Elephas maximus indicus: one gene and its partner. The protein of the gene in region 1 purifies or fractionates together with the protein of each later gene. This does not show direct contact. Links are inferred from orthologs where the notes say so. Each region holds a gene or a part of one and is shown on either strand. Other genes may lie near its edges.

Region 1 (7,266 bases):
AAGACAAAGTGTGAGCTGCAGTGTTGCTCATTTTTAAAAATATCCAGGCTACTGTTAGGTACTTGGATCAAGCTTCATACATGGTCTGCCTTCCTGTTGCCCTGATTCTGGGCACAGGTAACAGATAACCTCTGTCCTGCCTGTGAGCAAGTCTGAAGTCAGGCAGAGCAAAGCCTGGGAAGGCTGACTCTCTCATCTTTGTGCATCTACAGGTGCAAGCCAATTTTAGGTGTGTCATGCATCATTTTTTCCATAGTCCCCACTGGGAGCTGACTGTGGTCACAACTCTGTCTACCGACCTTCCACCTCTCTTCATTCTACTTTTATGACAAACACTGTTATCACAAGAATACCTGACAAACATCGACCGTCTACAATTTGTTCAACTGCAAAGGTGACACAGAAAACTCTGGTTTCCAAGTTTCAGATTCCAGGTCCAATTTCAAAATGATATCCTATTTCTTTCTATCCCGTATACCAATCTAAAAGCTGAAATCTCTAGCAGAGCTAATTTATCAAAAAAAAGAGAGAGAGAGAGAGAGAAATTTAAAATGCTAAAAGCATGCTCTTGTTAAAAGCAGTTAATTTAGGGAAATAAAGCAGTTCAACTTCTCTCGGAGGGTCTGCAGGCTTCTGATATACACACAAATCGAAGATACTTATTTCTATCTCCTCATGCTGGGAAAGTCCATGTTACAGATAAACACACCTTCGGGCCACTGCCCAAGTAGACATTTTACCTAAAAAAGCAATAGGATACTACACCTGAAAAGAGTCCGGAGTTATCTATCGGGCCGGGAAACAGGTTGTGTTCACCCACATTGTACATGTCCCAGCTGTCAAAGCCCACATACTTCTTCCATTGCTTGAACCAACGGCTGTCAATAAGATACCTAGAGACAGACAAAAACTTACTGTGGCAGAAAAGCTGGCATTACAAGTTTCTGTGCCTATCCCCTCGTTCTTTTCTGGTCTTTCCTTTTGGGTCACTTACAACCCCCATTAAAAAACAGACTCAAGAGCAGAAGCAGGGCCAGGCTCTACACAGCACTGAGGGCATGGCCCAGGGCACGTATCCCTTAAGTGAAATGACTGTTTAAAAGAATGAATGAATGGAAGGGAGGAAATGATTGGCTTCAAAATGTTTATTTAAATTAAGTCTTTCTATGGGTAGAATCCTGTTTGCGATCAACCGGTCATTAATTCCATACGATTTCTACAGAGGTCCTCATCCAGGCAGACAGTTTGTGGCTGCACTGCTTTGCTTAATGTGAACAGCATTAAATTGATTTCATTTCTGAAAATGGGATAATAGTTCCACCTACTTCAGATTTCCTTAGTGGACCAAACAAGATATTAAAAATGTGTGAAAGCACCTCCTTTTCTTCCTTCCTTGATGATATCTGACTAGACTATAACAAATAATTTCCTCTAATACCCATTAAAATAGTACGCATATGCATATATATACAATTTATACTTATATGTGTAATTAGTACACATATACACATGTAAACAAACATGTATATATATACACATTTACATAAAGTTAGTGTCTACTGTGTTCATCTTATCAAAAATTCTGAAACTGTGTTTCATATTTAACTTATTGTTTTTTATACTTAAGAAAAGTAAGCAAACCTGGTTATATTTTAAAGTATCACTTTTATGATTAAGACAGAAGGAGGGAGAAACCTCTGTGGGGCAACAAAACACAAATATTCATAAGTTCTTCAAATTTTGTAACCAACAAACCTTAGAGAAGATCAGGCAGCTTCCCAGAGGCCACAGGATCCACAAATATATCCAAACTTCTAAATGTTCTTTTCTCTCCAAACCCCTTAAGCAATACCCTCCACAAACTTTTTGTGTGATTTTAGTCTATCGTAAACTCCCTCTCCTTCCACCGAGTATTCTTTTTCATGTATCACCCCTAAACAGGATAACTTCCAAAGTACCTCTGCTTGCTCTGCCTTTTAAAACTTGGCTAGCTCAAGATAAACACTGTAAAGCTGTATCTGAACTCCTCTTAACCTCAATATTTCTATTCTGAACTCAATTCCTCTATCACTATAAATGACATTATCATCACCACCATGGTTTCTTAAAGGCAGAAGTTCATTCTTATTCTTTGCAAACCCTAACCTGTTTTCTACTCCCACACAATACCACCCAGTAATCTCTCCACTATTGGAAGGTAATGCCTTTTCTACTAAACAATCTATTAAGAAACCTCGTGTCTCAGCTTTCTTTGTTCTTCTAAATTCTGTACTTCTAATCTTCTATCTAGCTCTAGGCTCCAGGCCACCCTCCTCTCCCACTCCAATATGCTGCTACCACAATTATTTCTGACATTTGTTATCAAAATAATCTAGAGCTCACAGACATTTGTTCAGCTTCTGACCCTGACATCTGTTCTGCAGTTTGCAAGTTACGAGTATCTACTTCTGATCCTTGCCTCAACTGAGTGAGGGCTGTGGGCCAAGTATTGCTACCCTGCTTTTACTAGTAAGGAACCAATGTCTACAAAGAGCGAATGTCTTCGCCCAGGGTCACAAGGGGAGTCCTCGATGACACAGGGCTCTTCCCACCCTCATGATCCCTGTGAGCACTCCACTTCCTCCCCATCCTGCAGCCCTTGCCCCCGCGGATCCGCCCCCTAGGGCTCTGAAGGGGCCGGTATGAGCTCCAGTCCCGCCGCGCTCTCCCAGTACCGATCTCAGGGTTCCTCTCCCAAGGGGCGGGGGTCAGGCCACCCTCTCAAGATCACCAGACACCGCCCCCGTCCGGCTCCTCCCCAAGCTGAAAGGGGCCGGGCCTGAATGCCGGGGCTCCTGCGCCCAGCTGTGCTCCGTAGAAGGGCGGGCCCACAGCTTACCACTGCGCCCCCCGTTGGAGCGTGGTCCTCATCAAGGCACCTAGCTCGGATTTCTGGGTCTCCGCATCCGGTCGCTCACGGCAGCCTCCGCCTTCCGCCATCTCATCCGCGGCCCCGGCGCAGCCGGCCCGGACATCCGCCTCGCGCACAGCGTGCGGCGAGCCGCGCCCACGCACGCACGCACGCACACACGTGCACGCGCCCAAGCCCCGCCCCGCGGCACCGCCTCGCGCGCCTGCCCGCCTCTTTCTTTTCTTCCCACCCCCACGCGCCGCGCCGTCGTGTCTCACAGACGCTGTGGAGCCGGGAGGAGGCCGGAAAAGGGGTAGAAGCCGAAGGAGCTGCCGCTTCCGCCTGCCTTGCCGCTTGCTTTTTGCGCCGCCCCTCTTTTCTGTGTTTCCGCGCAGTCCGTCAGGTGGCGGGCCTCACGACCCCGTGCGTTTTTCATTCTGACCTGAGGGGTTATCCTGGGCCTGAGTAAATGTGGAGTTGAGTTTGAGAAGCCCTAGGACTAGATTTTCTCACTTTCGCTTCTGCTGTGGCACGGGACCCGCAACGTTGCCATCTTTTATGTTGAAGGGGAAACAGGCTTTGCGAGGCCGCACTCCTGCTTTCTGCTAGTTCACTAACGTTTGCTAAGTCATTCTTCTGTAATTCTTGCCGAGGCGGTCTTATGTAAGTCTAGAGGCGTCCCTGGCATGTAGCCACTATTGTTCGCCACCGCTAGAAAAGCCCTGTCCCCCACCACGGGGCGAGGAGATCTGCTTAGTCATGCTGCTGCCCAGGACGTTCCTCGCATGTAAGTCTCCCTAAGAAACTCCTTTGTTGGCACTCTGGAGTTGCCTGCCGCTCTCAGCAAGCACCCTCCGTTTTTGAAGACAAGTTTTAAGTTGTTGGTCTCTGCCAGGACAGTTAGCGAGCCAGCCAAGAGACTGAAGAAATGGCAAGTGGGAGTGAGGCCTCTGGGGGGGAAATCCCAGGTTGGCCAACAACCTCCATGTGGAACGGTTTGGCTGTATGCTTGATGTGTGTGGACCTCCCGGTGAGTGTAGGGATGCCCTGAAAATGCTAAGCGGCATAGCCTGGTTGCAGGAAGATGTACGCCTTCGTAAGTGTGGAACGGAAGCTAGGAAAACAGTAGGGGCCATAGGGTGGCCGCTGGTCTGGCCCTTTCGGCTGGCCACTGACACCCAGCTAGCTGGTGAAGAACACATAGGAGCTTTGCAGGAAGAGTAACAGTTGGAAAGGGATATGCGGCAGTCGCACGTGGCCATGACTAACATATTGAGCAGCTGTGTCCACGAACAGGATGAGCAACTAGAAATGCTTGCCTGCAGGTTTGTAAAGATGGGGGAGGGGGGAAGGAAAGTGCCAAATGTGAAGATCAGGGCAATGTTGATGAAAGGTGACTGGGAAGTGAAAACATGAAATTCTTGGGATGACAAGCCTGGTAGTGACTCAGGTGGTGGTGATATTAGAGGAGGAGCATGGCTTTCCCCTCCCATAAGATAAAAACTACCTGCAAGCGGGATGACCCTAGACAAGAAATTCTACCCAGCAATTCTGTGACAATGCAGGAATACACCCTCACTGAGTTGATTGAATTGTATGTGGAATTCCAGCACAAAGGAAAGGAAACCATTGCAGCTTGGTTATTATATCTGTGGGATATCAGGGGAGACAGTGTTTCTTAAGGCAGCTGAGGCAGAAAAAACAGGTTATATTACCACTGACCCCGCCCACCGACAGTGTTTACATGCAGCTCAGAACACAGAGGGCATACACACTTTCTGTAATTGGATCATCTTGTGTTGTAGAAAGGCATGGGCAAATGGGGGAGATCTTCCTAGTACAGTCGATTACAGCAACTAATATGGGAGCTAGGTATGTGCCATTTATGCCGAACCCTTCTGGGGACCAGACAATGAACTGTTTACTGTGGGAATGATAGGAAAGATCCAACAGCCAGCCCTGCCTGCCTGGTACAGAACACTGGTGGCTATAGTTCGTCCCTAGTGGGCCAGGCAGTCTACGGTGGGAGAAGCCATAGCCAACTTAGGTGAAACTGACAGGGCTAGAGAGAAGGGGCTGCACACTGTGGGAAGAGCGAAAAGAAAGGCTGAAAGCCCTGTAAGGTGACTGTCCAAGAGCACCTTGAGAGTAACCCGAAAGCAGATATGGGAGGACTTAGTGGCTGCCAGGGCCGCAGTGGAAAAGATAACTGAATGCAGTTTTGGTCAACCTTTGAAAGACTCTGAAACCAGAGCAACTATACCACCCTCTGGATCCCACTGCCTGCTTCCTTATGGGAAGAGAAAAAAGAAAAGCTGAAAAGCCTCTAAGACAATTGTCCAAGGGCCCTTTGGAAGTAACCCAGAAGCAGATATGGATGGACTTAGTGGCTGCCAGGACCACAGTAGAAAAGACAGATAAACAACCAGATGCAGTTTTGGTCAATCTTTGGAAGAATCTGAAGCCAGAGCAATAATACTGCCCTCTGGGTTTCACTTTCCCCTGTGAAGAAGTGCCCCTTGCCACCAGGTAGATCCTGCCAATCCCTAAGGTCTACGGGTGGGGCTGAGGTAACCTGCAGGTCAGGGGCCTGCAGGGGGACCAGAGGCCCCATGTAGAGGTCACAAAACAAGCAGTGGGGTGCTAGCTCTGGTTAATACAGGGGCAGAATGCACCCCTATCTTTGGAAACCCTGAACAGGTTCAAGGACCCCCCTTGGCAATTGACAGGTGTCATGGATTGAATTATGTCCCCTAAAAAATGTCTATCAATTTGGCTGGGCCACGATTCTTGGTATTGTGTAATTTTCTATATATTGTAAATCCTGTTTCTATGATGTTAATGAGGGAGGATGGATGGCAGTTGTGTTAGTGAGGCAGGACTCAATCTACAAGACTGGATTGTGTCTTGAGTCAATCTTTTGAGATATAAAAGAGAGAAGCCAGCAAAGAGACAGGGGGACCTCATACCACCAAGAAAGCAGTGCCAGGCGCAGAGCGTGTCCTTTGGACTTGGAGTTCCTGCGCAGAGAAGCTTCTAGTCCAGGGGAAGATTGATGAGAAGGCTGACACAGAGAGAAAGCTTTTGTCTGGAGCTGACACCCTGAATTTGAACTTTAGCCTACTTGCCTGTGAGAAAATAAACTTCACTTTGTTAAAGCCATCCACTTGTGGTATCTCTGTTATAGCAGCACTAGATAATAAAGACAATGGGTATGGTGGAAAGTCCATCTGCATACATCAGGTACTCCTGACCCTACAAGTAGAATGTACTACCCCCAAATTGTATGAAGTTTGTGTTTCCACAATACCAGAATACATTCTAGGAGTGGATGTCCTCATGGGACTAAGTTTGATCACATCTGTGGGAGAATTCTGACTGCAGGTGAAGGTGGTAGAAGCAGTCTTGAGGGGAAAAGCAGCATGGGAACCAGTAGTCCTGTCTCCACCACAAAGAGTGGTAGACATCAGGCAATATAAGGTGCCTGGAGGATGTAAGGAAATCAGTGAAATCGTTTTGGAATTGAAAAGGGTAGGTAATCCCCCAGAAAGCCCAGCTGTGGTTTTAACAGCACTGTATGGTCTGTGAAGAAGTCAGATGGGTCATTGAGTATGACTGTGTACTATGGAGAACAAGGCGATCCCTCCTACACATGCTGCAGTCCCAAATGTAACTTCCTATTTGGAAACTTTTAGTAGAGACCTGGCCAATGTGTTCTTTATCATCCTTCTTGCCCCATCTGCTCAGGACCAGTTTTCCTTCATCTGAGGGGGACAGCAATGGACGTTCTGAGTGCTACCCCAATGGTATTTACATAGTCCCACTATATACCATGATTTGGTTGCTTGGAATCTGGCTTTTTTCCCCTCTCCTGCTACCATTTGTTGGTTTCATTACACTGATGATGTTATGTTAACTGCTGAAGACGTTTCTCTGTTACAGGACTGTCTAGACATCTTAATCACTCTCCTACAGGGGAGAGGATGGGCCGTGAATCCCCAAAAGGTGCAGGGGCCAGAAACATTGGTAAAATTCCTAGGGAAACCATAGATGATACTATATAAATTTTCCCCCCCTTCCACGACACCAAAAGAAGTGCAGGCCTTTGTGGGTCTTTTGGGGTATTGGAGAGTATTTATTACCCACTTGGACCAGTGCTTGAGACCACTCTATCAACTGGTAAAAAAGGGTCCCCCTTGGGATTGGGGTAATGAACCAGCAAGCTTTCTAGAAGGCAAGGTGTTGTTGCACAAGTGAAAGCACTAGGTGCGATACATGAAGGATTACCCTTCCAGTTGACTTAAGCAGCACCGAGAACAGCGTTGACTGGGTGTTATAACAAGATCAGGATGAAACTACAGTCCTCCTAGGTTTTT
Region 2 (7,704 bases), on another chromosome or scaffold:
AAAATACTGACTAGACAGAGGACTGGCATTACGGCCCTTGAAAATCATACTGTGAGGGCCACCTCTTTTCTCAACCAAACAAAAATACAAAAATGTCTGAATTCACTCTCCAATATCCTGGAAAGAAGTCCCAGTTTTCAAACTAGAATATGCATATCTCTGGGGGTAAACAAAGTTTTCCAAGAGATACGAAAGCACGGGAGTCAACTTCCATAGGAAGCCCATTAAAATCCGTTGCCGTCGAGTCTATTCCAACTCATAAAAAAAAAAAAACTTTTTTTACTCATAGCAATGCTCTATCAACCCTACAGGAGAGAGTAAAAATGCCTCATATGGTTTCCAAGGAGTGCTTGATGGACTCAAACTGTCCACCTCTTGGTTAGCAGCCATAGCTCTTACATTACACCACCAGAGTTTCCCTCCACAGAAAAGGGGTCAGTAAACTACAACCTGTGGGCCAAATTTGGCCGACTGTCCCTAAAGTTTTATTGGAACACACCCATGCTCATTCATTTGTGTTTTCTCTATGGCTGTTTTCACACTACAATGGGAGAGCTGAGTAGTTGTGACAGAGACAATAAAAAAAAAAAAAAAAAAAAGAGACAATATGGCCCACAAATTCTACCATCTGGCCCTTTACAGAAAAAGCACACAGATCCCTGCTTTATTCATTTCAGGAATGAAGGAATTTCAGAAATGCGAGGTTGGTCTAACATTTAAAAATAATGTACGCCATTTCATACATACCTTATAGTTTTAAAAAAGCTTATTTGTATATTTTTAAAACATCGTATTCCCAAAACTTTTTGGGAAAAGTGGAATGGGTACAAGTTCAAAAGAAAAAGGAAAAATATAAAATGGACAAATTCCCAGAATGATACAAATTACCAAAATTGACTCAAAGAAAACCTAAATAGAACTCTATCAAGTAAAGAAACTGAATTAGCAATTACAAATCTTCCCAGAAAGAAAAGGCCAGGTCCAGAGGACTTCGCTGGTAAATTATATCAAACATTTGAGAAAGAAATAGTACCAATCCTACACAAACTCTTTCAGAAAACAGAGCAGGAGGGAACGCTTCCCAACTTCCTTTATGAGAGTAGTTTTATTCTGATATTGAGACCAGACAAAGACATCATTAGAAAAGAAAATGTCATCTAAAGTACAATTAAAAAAAAAAAAAAAAAGTCAGACCAATATCCCTCACGAACATAGACACAAAAATTCTTAACAAAATATTAGTAAATCTAACTCAGCAACATATGAAAAGTATTATACACCATGACTAAGTGGGGTTCATTTCAGGAATGGAAGGTTGGCTTAACATCTAGTAACACTGCTCGTCTGGTTGATACGAACAGAAATATGACACATCTTCCACTTTGCATTAATTACAGGATCTCACGAATGACAAGGATCTAAAATATTTTCTAGTCCCGTGTTATTCAAATTACAGTTCATGATCTATTAGAGGTTAGAGTCAATTCAGCGACTTGCAACTTTTTTTTTCCTTTTAATGAAATAAAAAATGTCAAAAGGCATCACCTGTAGAAAGGATAAATAAACTTTTGTTGTGTGTGTGTCTGTGTGTGTGTGTTCCTGCTCCTGTGAGCAGGGGGCACACTGAGTCATGATGTAAAATGTATCTAGTTGTGGGTCACAGGTTAACAAAGTTTGAGAGATACTTTTCTAGCCTCACAGCCCTACCCCTACAAGGAGACTCCACCAAAATACTCTTAGTAATCAAAAGGGCATGTTCTTTGCAACTATTTTCACTTCATACAGAGAAACCAGCAACTGGGAAAGAGTTCTGTGCTCAGTACACCTAATTTGTCTTTCATATATAAAGATTAAGATCCCTTAGAAGTTTCCGTTTGAAACACTGATCTGCTCAGAGACACTTACGTTTTGGTGGGATTAAAACCTATACTTGGCAGACATCCAAATGAAGTTAGTTTAGTCTGTGGCTAGGGAAAAGAACGAAAACCACTCTGGTTCTTAAGTTCCTCATCTGTAAGCAGAGGAGAAGACTGCTAAAACTCCTTCTAGGCCTAGAATTGGAAGATAATTCAAAAGCAAGCGGCCAAATCAGCAAGGACTCTGCCTCTCACACATCACAGCAATTTAACTACTTAACATGTCAATTATTGATAAGCACAATCAATATCACAACAAGTACTGGTAACAAGAACCGCGAACTTACACCAAGGGCAGGAAAAAATCGAGAGGGAAGTTCCTGAGATTCAGCAGAGGATGCGCCGTAGCGTGTATCATTAACTTCTCAGCCATCCTTGTCTCCCAGACCCCGGCTCACCTCTGTCCTCAAGCCATCAGTTCATGGGTATGGCACTCTGCTCTTCCCTGCTCCCCTATCCCACTGTGCAAAAGGAAACTGAAGCACGGAGCAACGAGTGAGCTGCAGCAGCCACCAACAAGGCTGGACTAGGACCTCAGGCCGCTAACGCCTCCTACCTCATGCAAGCCATTCCCAGGCTATTTAGAATCCGCTGTCCTCGGCCACCCACCTTAAACCAAACCCCATGGGCAACTCCTAGTACCTGGCCTCCATATCATTCATACCGATGCGGCCTCCAGCTCCCACCCACCCCAGTAAAGCTCTATAAGGCCTGGAACCCCGAAGCCTGAAGGCAAACACTGCTGGCCAACCACGGAAGCCCCCGACCACGGGCGCTCACAAACCGGCCGCCTCCCCTCGCTCCCACCTCCGCGCCGTCCAGCCGCGCTTCCTCCTCACTTCACACTGAGCCGACGGCGCAACGCGGGAGGGACCCAAAGACTGAGGGGCTTCTTCTCCGCACCGACCCCCAGAGCCACGGCATCCGCCGCCGCCACCGGAACCGCCCGGGCGTCTACACGCCAACAGCGTGAGGTCACTTCCGGCGCGACGCCTTGGAACTGGGGGGCGGGCGGTTGAGGGTGAGCGCCCGGGAAACTTGAGAGCTGGGGAGACCGCGGCAAGGGCTGGCCATGCGGCCTCCCGAAGTCGCGCCTGGGCGGCCATTTTGCGTGCTCCACGTACTTACTTACATCGGGTGGAACCCTCGCTGGAGTCGGGGTCCTGGTTCTCCCTTCCCCAGCCCCGACGCCTGGGAAACTCCGTTTTCCTTTGTAGGCTCTAAGAAAAACTTGGGCTTCCTCACCCACCGCTTGCGCCAATCGCCAAGCTTGAGCGAAGGACTTTCGGGGTGCCTGATGACGCGGGACCCCATCCTTGCTCTGTCGCAGCTGTAGGATTCAAAAAGTAGGTCAACCTGAGGACAGGTTAAAGGAAACAAGAAATTCCTTCCGCGGCTAATCCTCAGAGTTTATTAGCTCAGCCCTTTTGGGGAGTTGGAGTCAGCCTCTCTACGCTTGCTTGCCTGTCCCTGTCTTCCTCCTTCCCCTCTAGCCTGTCCTGGTACACAATAAAGTGTCACCCTCCGTTCTCCTGCCTTTGGCATTTCATAGTCTTAGCAGTATTAACTTTGAAAAAAAACATGGCTTTAGGGCCAAGACTAAGTGTAACGAGGAGTTTTCTACCTTAAAGTTTGCAAGGCATCCTTAAAGCCTGACGCCTGGTTTGGGAACCACTGTTTGTGCAGGCTGCATGGACTAGGGCAGTGGTTTCCAAAACTGGCTCTACAAAATCAGTTGAGGAACCTTATAAAACTTTTATTTTGCAGGGGATCCTCGCCCCACCCCCCCACCCCCAATCGCAAGAGATTCCTTTTTAGTAGGTCTGGAAGGGTGCTGGCATCTATTTTTTTAAAGGTTCTCTCCAGTCAATTCTGTGCATACTCCAAGTTTGGGAGTCATTGCTACATCAGACCCAGGGTTGAATGCTAGCTCTTTTTTTTTTTTACAAACTATACCTATGAAACACAAGATAAACTGGAGATGATAGCTGACAAAGTTGCTGTGAAATTGAATGAATAATGTGCACCTGCTCATAGTTGATATGCCTAAAAATGTGGTTAATTCTCTCGTACATTCCTTTGGTTAGGGTTTTATAGTCTACTCCAAACAAGTTTTTAAATTCACAAGGCCCAATCTTCAATCATGAGATTATTCTTTACTGCAAGCATTGCTGTAGCCACAGGGGTCAGTTGGTTATGTGATGTTACGTTATGTTACGTTACATTATTATGTTGTGTTATGTTATGCTCACCATTACAGACCCATCCACCACTTGTCTGTCATTTTGGTATACTGTGGTGGCTTCTGTGTTACCGTAATGCTGGAAGCTATGCCACCAGTATATCAAATACCAGCAGGGCCACCTATGGTGGACAGGTTTCACTGGAGCTTACAGACTAAGACAAACTAGGAAGAAGCACCTGGCAATCTACTTCTAAAGAAGTCTACGAGAGCCAAAGAATAACCTTGAGCATATCCCACCAGAATTTAGAGACCATCTCAAGAAAGATTTGACACATTGAACACTAATGACCGAAGACAAGACGAAGTATGGAATGGCATCAAGGATATCATATGTGAAGAAAGCAAGAGGTCATTAAAAAGGAGAGAAAGAAAAGACCAAAGCACATGTCAGAAGATACCCTGAGACTTGCTCTTGAACATAGAGTAGCTAAAGCGAATGGAAGAAATGATGAAGTAGAAGAGCTGAACAGAAGATTTCAACGGGCAGCTCAAGAAGACAAAGTATTATCATAAAATGTGCAGAGACCTGGAGTTAGAAAACCAGAAGGGAAGAACACACTCAGCATTTCTCAAGCTGAAGGGACTGAAGAAAAAAATTCAAGCCTCGAGTTGCAATACTGAAAGATTCTATGGGCAAAAAATTGAACTGCATAGGAAGCATCAAAAGAAGATGGAAGGAATACACAGAGTCACTGTACCAAAAGAATTGGTCAATGTTCAACCATTTCAGGAGGTAGCATGTGATCAGGAACCAATAGTACTGAAGGAAGAAGTCCAGGCTGCACTGAAGACATTGGCGAAAAACAAGGCTTCAGGAATTGATGGCATACCAGTTAAGATGTTTCAACACACGGATGCAATGCCAGTAAATTTGGAAGATAGCTACCTGGCCAGCCAACTGAAAGAGACCCATATTTGTGCCCATTTCAAAGAAAGGTGATCCAAGAGAATGTGAAAATTATCAACCAAGATTATTAGTATATGCAAATAAAATTTTGCTGAAGATAATTCAGAAACAGTAGCAGCAGTACATCAACAAGGGACTTCTAGAAATTCAAGCTGGATTCAGAAGAGGACATGGAACAAGGGATATCATTGCTAATGTCAGATGGATCTTGGCTGAAACAGAGAATACCAGAAAGACGTTTACCTGTGTTTTATTGACTATGCAAAGGCATTTGGCTATGTGGATCGTATCAAGTTATGATTAACATTGCGAAGAATGGGAATTCTGGGACGCTTAATTGTGTTCATGAGGAACCTGTATAAACCAAGAGGCAATTGTTAAAAACAGAACAAGGGGTTACTGCATGGTTTAAAATCAGGAAAGGTGTGAGTCAGGATTGTATCCTTTCACCATACTTACTTGATCTGTATACTGAGCAAATAATCCAAAAAGCTGGACTATATGAAGGACGTGGCATCAGGGTTGTAGGAAGATTCATTAACAACCTGCGATATGCAGATGACACAGCCTTGCTTGCTGATAGGAAAGAGGACTTGATGTACTTACTGATAAAGATTGAAGACTACTGCCTTCAATATGGATTACACCTGAACATAAAACAAAAATCCTCAACTGAACCGATAAGCAACATCACGATAAACGGAGAAAAGACTGAAGTTGTCAGGGATTTCATTTTACTTGGATCCACAGTCAACATCCGTGGAAGCGGCAGTCAAGAAATCAAACAATGTATTGCATTGTGGGCACATCTGCTGCAAAAGTCCTCTCTGAATTATTAAAAAGTGAAGATATCGCTTCGAGGACTAAGATGTGCCTGACCCAAGCCATGATATTTTCAGTCACCTCGTATGCATGTGAAAGCTGGACAGTGACTAAGGAAGACTGAAGCAGAATTGATGCCTTTGAATTATGGTGTTGGAGAAGAATATTGAATATACCATGGACTGCCAGAAGAACCAACAGCTCTGTCTTGGAAGAAGTACAACCAGAATGCTCCTTAAAAGTGAGAATGGCAAGACTTCATCTCCTGTACTTTGGACATGTTATCAGGAGGGACCAGTCCTTGGAGAAGGACATCATGCTTGCTAGAGTAGAGGGTCATGGAAACAGAGGAGGACCCTCAACAAGGTGGATTGACACAGTGGCTGCAACAGTGGATTCAAAAATAGCAATGATTGTGAGAATGGCCCAAGACAGGGCATTGTTTTCTTCTGTTGTACATATGGTCACTATGAATTGGAACCGACTTGATGGCATCTAACAACAGCAGTCCCATCAGCCTTGCACAGGGCATGCCTTATAAAAACAAACAAATCCATTGCCATTAATTGAATACCACTTGTCTTAGTCATCTAGTGCTTCTATAACAGAAATAACAAGAAAAACAAGTGGATGGCTTTAACAAAGAGAAGTTTATTTTCTCACAGTAAAGTAGGCTAAAAGTCCAGGTTCAGGGTGTCAGCTCCAGGGGAAGGCTTTCTCTCTCTCGGCCTTCTCATCAGTCTTCCCCCAGACTAGGAGCTTCTCTGGGCAGAGACCCTGGGTCTAAAGGCCGCACTCTGCTCCCAGCACTGCCTTCTTGGCGGTATGAGGTCCCCATGTGTCTCTGCTCACTTCTTTCTTTTATGTCTCAAGAGAGTGTCCCAAGACACAATCTAATCTTGTAGGCTGAGTCCTCCCTCACTAACGCAACTGCCCCCATCTTCCCCTATTAACATCATATAGGCAGGATTTACAACATATAGGTAAATCACACAATACTGGAAATCATGGTCCAGCCCAATTGATACACACATTTTTGGGGGGACAGTTCAATCCGTGACATCACTCATGTCAACCCTGTATGTTACAGAGTAGAACTAAATTCATAAGATTTTCTTAGCTGTAATCTTTACAGAAGCAGATTGCCAGGCTTTCCTTCTGCAGTGCTGCTGGTTGGTTTTAAACTGCCAAGCTTTTGATTAGCAACTGAGCGCAAACCGTTTGTGCCACCTAGGGACCTCCTGCCTCATAGTAGATGTTAAAATAAGTGTTGAATGTATGAAGGAATTGTCCTAAGGCTTCCTACATAGACTTTCCCCAAGGCTCAAACTGAGAAGTTCTAGGCACCTCTGAAGTCCCAGCTGGTGAGCTATTAAACCTTGGTAAAGCAGTCAGCAACTGCCTTAATCCACTATCTGCTCTGTCAGCCCTGAAGAATTGCTTGATTTAGAGAATTATGCTATGTTGTATTTTGACCTAGAATTCATGGGCAGATCAATCACCCAGTGTGAAAAGCATTGTTGAGTTTCTACTGTGGCCTGAAGGGTGTGACAAATAATTTCATAATTGGGAAGGGAACATTCTTTCTCTAAACTGCGTCTACATTCTCCAGGGCTAGTCATTCTGAGAATTGAGAAAAGGATTGTTTCTGTTTCTGATTGAACACAGAAAAGTCGTTCTCGTTAAGTTCATTTGGAAACCAAAAGCCAGTGGTATTCTACGAAGTTTGTTAAAAATGCAGATTCTAGTCCTCCCTCTGAGAGACTGATTCAGTAGGTCTGGGGTAGAATCCAGGAATCCAAGAAACAAGAGCC

What was found. Proteins that work in one complex are often made in the same cells at the same time.
Region 2: the proteins of USP4 (region 1) and EDC3 purify together in Homo sapiens (co-immunoprecipitation; 3 studies listed by BioGRID and IntAct, with this or other methods). This does not show direct contact. The link is inferred for Elephas maximus indicus from reciprocal best matches to the Homo sapiens genes USP4 and EDC3.

The regions. Positions count from the first base shown.
Region 1 is NC_064838.1:53,785,879-53,793,144, forward strand, and holds the start of USP4 (ubiquitin carboxyl-terminal hydrolase 4), read right to left. Parts: upstream 3,043-7,266; 5' UTR 2,980-3,042; coding exon 2,879-2,979; intron 2,851-2,878; exon of another isoform or gene 1,756-2,850; intron 894-1,755; coding exon 766-893; intron 1-765.
Region 2 is NC_064831.1:64,765,382-64,773,085, forward strand, and holds the start of EDC3 (enhancer of mRNA-decapping protein 3), read right to left. Parts: upstream 3,067-7,704; 5' UTR 3,045-3,066; intron 2,907-3,044; exon of another isoform or gene 2,724-2,906; intron 2,689-2,723; exon of another isoform or gene 2,204-2,688; intron 1-2,203. UniProt on the Homo sapiens protein: Binds single-stranded RNA. Involved in the process of mRNA degradation and in the positive regulation of mRNA decapping. May play a role in spermiogenesis and oogenesis.